Linked DNA regions of Nothobranchius furzeri. The protein of the gene in region 2 binds, or shares a complex with, the protein of the main gene of each other region. Links are inferred from orthologs where the notes say so. Each region holds a gene or a part of one and is shown on either strand. Other genes may lie near its edges.

The links.
Region 1: trappc8 (region 2) and trappc11 share a complex: the UniProt entries of both Homo sapiens proteins name them as parts of the multisubunit TRAPP (transport protein particle) complex. The link is inferred for Nothobranchius furzeri from reciprocal best matches to the Homo sapiens genes TRAPPC8 and TRAPPC11.

What each region holds. Positions count from the first base shown.
Region 1 is NC_091741.1:109,664,728-109,667,635, forward strand, and holds part of trappc11 (trafficking protein particle complex subunit 11), read left to right. Parts: intron 1-48; coding exon 49-242; intron 243-334; coding exon 335-483; intron 484-1,386; coding exon 1,387-1,508; intron 1,509-1,611; coding exon 1,612-1,731; intron 1,732-1,821; coding exon 1,822-1,887; intron 1,888-2,065; coding exon 2,066-2,222; intron 2,223-2,299; coding exon 2,300-2,411; intron 2,412-2,548; coding exon 2,549-2,640; intron 2,641-2,756; coding exon 2,757-2,890; intron 2,891-2,908. UniProt on the Homo sapiens protein: Involved in endoplasmic reticulum to Golgi apparatus trafficking at a very early stage.
Region 2 is NC_091756.1:54,980,358-54,984,182, forward strand, and holds part of trappc8 (trafficking protein particle complex subunit 8), read left to right. Parts: intron 1-92; coding exon 93-246; intron 247-998; coding exon 999-1,086; intron 1,087-1,208; coding exon 1,209-1,468; intron 1,469-1,550; coding exon 1,551-1,660; intron 1,661-1,749; coding exon 1,750-1,900; intron 1,901-3,825. UniProt on the Homo sapiens protein: Plays a role in endoplasmic reticulum to Golgi apparatus trafficking at a very early stage. Maintains together with TBC1D14 the cycling pool of ATG9 required for initiation of autophagy. Involved in collagen secretion.

The DNA.
Region 1 (2,908 bases), on a different chromosome or scaffold from region 2:
TGGACTGAACTGCAGCTAACTGCGTGTTTGTCATTTGTGCACGCACAGATTACTGGCATTGAGTTGGTGCTGGGCAGCGACAGTGGCCGCTGTGTTTTTCTGAGCTGGAGAGGTGCTGGTGGAGACACTGCTTCAGCCCAGGAGGCCCTGCAGGCCAGCAGGTCATCACGCAGGTGGTGGCGTGGCCTTGGGGCACGTCAGGAGCTTGACTGGGACAGTCTGACTGTTCAACATAGCACCATGTAATGTCATCAGAAACCTTTCATTTTTAACACTCTTCCTGTAACTGAACAGCTGCTCATGTGGATATTTCTGCTTGTTTTCTCGTGTTTAGGATCATATCCAGAATCCCAAAGATCTCTGTCCACCTGAGCCACCAGCCTCCTGTCCTCAAGAATGAAATGTACTGCATCTGCTTCACTGTCCAGTCACAGGAGGCGGCTGTGGCTCAAGACATCAGACTGACAGCAGGTCTCAAACCAGGTAAACTGATACTAGATAATGAGGGTTTCCCACTACTGAGCACGGCTTGACTCGACTCGATAAACAACTCTAGTGGGTGGGCTCATTGTAGCGGGGGGGGCAGAGGCCCTGGTAGTTACTTCTGGGTCACGGCAATTTTGTTGGCGTCTGGTGAGACCCAAGCCTGGCTCTTGATGGTTCAGCTTTTATTCTGAAAGGAACTGTTGCCGCAGTTGATATAGCAATGAATTTTTCCAGCTTGTCGTTGTTCTTTCGGTTGAAGAGTATAGATCAGGATTGGCCACTCCGTCACTTTCTCTGGAACACTTTGAGCTGGCGTTAGAGCTGACATGGCATAGTTTTATACTTTGGATGTTATGATTTATTGTCGAATGAAAAATTACCAAACACCATCAGAACTACGCCTCCGTCAGATCTGTTAGATTCTGATTGGCTCAGTGAAAGGAATGTGTCATGTCTTTTTAACGCTTCGTGAAATGAGTCCTGTTGGAATATTTAAAGTCACAGTACCGTTATATTCTATAGGATTATAATAAAGTAATTAATATTTTGATTTCACAGATCGGTCACATCTTATTTGTTGACTAACACTTTGATGGATTAGCTTTATTAAAATAGAGTTCTTTGATTAATTAAAAGAAAAGAGTTCATTCTTCGTTCTTCTGTTGAGCTGAAAATAAGCAGGTTAGAAGGAATGCACGAGACCTTGAGACTTATCTCATGCAGACTAGTCTTGAGCAGAGGAGGAAAAAAAACAGTCATTCCGTTCAGTTACATAATCGATGCTCGATGCCCGACCCTAGTCGTGTGTGTGTGTTTTTGTGTGTGTGTGTGTGTGTGTGTGTACTGAGAGAACACAACCACCAGTATACGCAGTCATCCTGGTCATCGTGTCTTTTCCAGGCCAGGATGCAAATCTGGGCCTAGCTACCCATGTGACCCTCGACGGCTCCAGCGTTTGTGACGATGGTGCTCCAGCTCTGCTCACCGATGTGCCTCTGGGTGACCTGAAACCTGGAGAAAAGGTGCTCACTTCTGCCTGAACACGCACACATGCGCACCTGTCTGCATTACCCAGCAGCAGAGGGACAGTGATTTCTCTTTCTGTCTGTGTGTGCTTGACTCTAGCTGGAGAGGTGTGTTTTTGTGAGGTGTGCGTCCACTGGGCCAAGGGTCTTCCTGTTTCAGGTGGCCTACAGCATCGACACAGAAGTGGAAGGACGACAGATTGTGTGCAGATGCCATAAGGTCTCTGAGTTGGACTAAGTCTCACTGCCTAAAACATCACTCCACCTCTGGGTTTTCCTAATTAGGTCTTTGTTTTCCTTTGTCTTCCAGGATGAGATGGTAACCATAGAGACGGTCGTCCCGTTTGAGGTGTCAGTCAAGTTTGTATCTACCAAGGTGGGCAGCTTTCTCTGGTTTTCCTTTTGTTTTCATCGTCACCACTGAGACCTGTTTGAGTCTCATGTCCCAGTAGAGGATGAGAGACCAGGATGGATAGACTGATGATGGTGCAGCTTTAATGAGAAGAAGGCGTGTGTTTGTGTGTGTGTGTGTGTGTGTGTGTGTGTGTTTTCAGTTTGAGCCTCTGGAGCAGGTAGCGGTGGACATTCCCTTCCTGCTGATGACAGACCTGGTCTCTTTGTCTCCGTGGCCCCTGATGCTGAGCTCCTCCTCCCTGCAGCTGCTCACACTGAGCAGCAGCACGACTCAGCTCCAGTCACAGCTGCAGCATGGTACCAGACCCGGTTCTAGTCCTACACCACACAGACTTCACATTCACATCCTGACGTGTGTGTATTTTGATTTTCAGTGGTTATTCAGACTGGTGAGTGTGCCAGTGAGTGTTTTTGTCTTCGATGTCCATCTGGGACCAACAGCGCCAACACTGTAGCGACAGGACAGTACCTAGTATCATGGAGGAGGTACGCGCGCATGCACACACACACACACACACACACACACACACACACACACACACACACACACACACACACACACACACACACACACACACACAGAATGGTGAGTGTGTAAATCTGTCACTCGCTCTGTTAAACAGGCAGGCCTCTGGTCCAGACGGGCCCCTGATCCAGACCACAGTCAGTCTCCCTCATGTGATCCTGGAGTCTGTTCCTGTTTACATCACCGCTGGTCAGCACAGGCCGTGTTAACCTCCTGGCCTTGCAGGGTGGCTTTTTTGTGTTTGCAGCTAATGGTTTCAGTCCGGTTGACTGTAAGGGTTTGGGTTTTTCTCTGTTCTGTTGCAGATTTACCGTCATTTGGGCGAGTGAGAGAGTCCTTTCCAGTTCGTTACCACATTGAGAACAGAACAGCCCTGGTGCAGGAGGTAGAGATCGCTGTGGAACCATCTGATGCCTTCATGTTCTCTGGACTCAAACAGGTGAAGTCAGGATCAGTC
Region 2 (3,825 bases):
GAAGTTTGCCTTCTGGAACATTAGTGGTTTGTTTACTGTAACTTTTGTTGTTTGTTGATGGCTAAAACATTTGTTTTTGTGTTTGATTTCAGAGCAGAGCTGGTTTATGAAGACATGAAACAAAGGTACGGTTCTCATGGCTGTTACTTGTTGAAGATAAACTCCCGCACAGTTTCTCCTGAGCAAGATGAACAGATCCCAGACCCATGGAGTCAGTACCTGCTGAGAAATAGTCAGCGGAACCAGGTGAGGATTCACATCCCCCCCCCCCCCCCACCCCCCCGGTCGGGCTGACTTGGGTCCTTTTACTGCAGCACAACTTTACTTTGACAAAAAATTACAAACATTTATTGGAGAATCTGTAGTTAGCACCAATTCACACCTGCTGAGAAACTGAAGAATAAAATGTGACTGAAGAGTCTGAGCTAGACCGATATATTGTTCCTGAGTTACATCCGCACAAAGGAAGTGCTCAAAAACATTATTTTCTACTAAAATTTCTTTTTATTTATCCATTTTTAATATTTAATACTTGCTCAGTTAATTGTTTTTTTTCTTATGTGTTTATTGAGAAAGAAACATACATAGAAACACATCTGACCATACAATTAGTTCCTCTCACATTAACATTTTTTTTCCTTTTCTTCCACAACAACAAAACAATTTATTTTAACTAGTTAAATGTCTGATTTTAATTTTAACAGTTGGTTAAATTCAGTGATCTGATTAGGTTCAGAAATGTTGTGAATCCACGGATGCTATTAGAGACGTTTTAGCATGCAAATAAGGTGGACAACGTCTAGATATCAGCCATGAAAAGTGGCAGCACATTTCGGCCGTCAGCTGACCACGACCTCTGAATAGCGGTGTCAGTATTAGCAACCGAAAAACGATCTAGTCTGAACACGAGCAGGTTGGAGGTTAAAACTCCTCTTGGCTCATGCTTCAGTCTGGTTCTTCTGTACTGGTCTGGTTTAACACCAGGATCACTATTGCAGGAGATGTTTGATTTGGTTCCAGCTGCTAATGTTGCAGAGACCAGTGCTGGTGCAACTGAGGTGGACAGCAGCGACTCGGCAGAGACAGGTCAGTCGGTTTCTCTTGTCAGTGTTCACATACCTCTGTTTTGATTCGAAAGCTCGTCTATGGAAAAGTCTAAACTCATTTGTTTTAATCAAAGTGTGCTTCTGTGTGTGTATGTGGACCAGGACCTGGCCTGTCCAGTAGCCTGGAGGTCCATCCTCTCCAGTTAGACACCAGCTCAGCAAGCCTCCAGACTCTGACTGATGTCCATGTCGACCTGAAGACGGGAGCGAGGGACTCGGAGCATCCAGCGTTAGGATCAGGGAGCTATGGAGCCTGTCTGACCCTCAATGATCATGACCACGTTAGACAGTTTGTTCAAGAGTTTGCTTTCAGAGGTCTGCTCCCACATGTTGAGAAGAACATCAGACAGCTGAATGACCAGGTACACTTCAAGATGTCCCTATTGATGCACTAACATTTCCACCCATCCTCTCCCTCACAGCTTGTGTCTCCGTTCATCTCAGCTCCTTTCCAGAAAAGGCCTGAGTCGCTCTTTGTTCACTGCTACCAAAAAGTGGTTTGGTGGAGGCAAAGTTCCAGAGAAGAACGAACCTAAGACTACTAGCAACCTTCTGTAAGATCTTTCTTTCCATTTCTCTCTTGACCCCGTGCATGACACTTTACCTGCAGTGTTGGTGTCATCTTTCTCCTCTTTGGTGTCAGATATCCTCCTGAAGCCCCGGAGCTGCAGATCAGGAAGATGGCAGACCTTTGCTTCCTGGTCCAGCACTACGACCTAGCCTACAGCTGCTACCACACTGCCAAGAAGGACTTCCTGTTGGACCAGGCCATGCTGTATGCTGCAGGAGCACTGGTATGAACTGCTCACACGGTGAAGCTGAAGCTGTGTGTCACACTAGAGATGAACCAAACAAATTACCTCATTCATGGCTCGTTTAAGAGTACCAATAAAAGGTGTGGTTCACTTTTTTAATCAATACATTTGCACTGGTCTCTAGTAGGAATGAATGCCTAGTGAGTTGTTATTTGGGGGGGGGGGGGGGAGCCCTGGTACGCCTGTTTCAGGAACTACTATGTTGCCAGATCAGAGTTGAGACTCAGACGGCAGGTTTTGGAGTCTTGTTGTCTGATATTTGGACCGCTCATCTCGGATTGGCTAACAGCAACATGGCTCTACCACTGACTCTGTTTGCTCTACAACGCTGATGTTTTATCTCCACAAATAACAAAAGCCTGGAGGAGTTCTGCTGTGTGGTAGAGTTGCTAAACCCGGGCGTACACTGTGCGACTTTTTCACTTTTTTGAGCCGATTTTCCACTCGTGCGAGAATCCACAAGATCGGGGCGAGTTTAGCGCTGAGTGTCGTGTAGTGTACAGGGGGTTACGAGAGGCGATTAACACCACGTGACCAGCTACCGATCAGCAGTAGTGAGCTCGCACGGACTTCTGGCGTGTTTGATGTTTCGCTCGTCCCTCGTGAGGGTATCGCACTGTTGAAGCGGCGCTGCGAGCAGCTGCGACCCAAAAAGTATCAGAACCGCTCACGGCGCATGCGCCATCATGCATCAACACCGCTCGCCCGCTATTTCCCTAATAACACACGTTGTTCGTTTTTGTTTCTACACGTTTTTTTTACTCACAAAGATTGTCAAGAAAGCGTGTTTGTCGTGTTCATGTCAAATTAAACTGATCACAAAACACAGATTTACTTTCTTTACTTCGTTTTCCTCATCCAACCTCCATAAATCCCTGTGTGTCCTCCTGCAGCACTCCCGAAGGACAACAGGCAAGACAAGCCAAAAAAGTCTGATGTGTTGAGTAAAAACTGCTATTTTTAGCATATTTTTAGGGCCGACGTGTTGCTACCAGACGTACAGTGTGAGCACATGACTCGTGAGATCTGCTCTGCGAGGAAGTCGTACAGTTTGAGCTGAAGCTGAGTGCTACGAGTGAAAAAGTCGCACAGTGTACGCCCGGCTTAATGCTAACAGTTAGCTTCTACTTGCCATTCTCTGCTGTTTCCTGGACACTAAAATGACAACAACCTTCCTCATCGTGAATCGAGATGGGTGAGTCCACGAATGTAAAGTGGCCACTTGACGTAGATCTGTCAGGCTTTTCAGATCCTAAAGTTTCACCGCCTATTTTCTATCAGAAGTTAATGCAGGAAATAGGTGTAGGAGACTATTTTCATGCATAAAAAACTCAGAGTGACCCATTATAATCAGTAATAATCATTTTCAGTGAACCACACACCTTTAAAAGAAGCCACCATATAAAGGTTCAAAACCTGTATCACGTTTGTCTACTAAAGCTGTGAGATTTAAAAACACCCGAGTGTGAAGCAACTGGGATGAGAATCAGCTCCTCTAAATCCGAGACCATGGTCTTGAGACAGAAAAGGGTAGAATGCCTTCTCCAGGTCAGGGATGAGGTCCTGTCTCAAGTGTAGGAGTTTAAGTATCTTGGGTCTTGTTCACGAGTGAGGGAAAGATGGAGAGTGATGCAGGTGTTGTACCGATCTGTCGTGGCGAAGGGAGAGCTGAGCCGGAAGGCAAATCTCATGATTTACCGGTCTATCTACGTTCCTACCCTCATCTATGGTCACGAGCTTCGGCTAGTGACAGAAAGAACGAGATCGTGGATACAAGCGGCTGAAATGAGCTGACCTGCTAGACTATGCCTCTCAGCTGGCCAGGGAACGCCTTAGGATTGCCCGGAGGAGCTGGCTTAAGTGGCTGGGGAGAGGGTCTGGTCTGGGCGTCCCTGCTTAGGCTA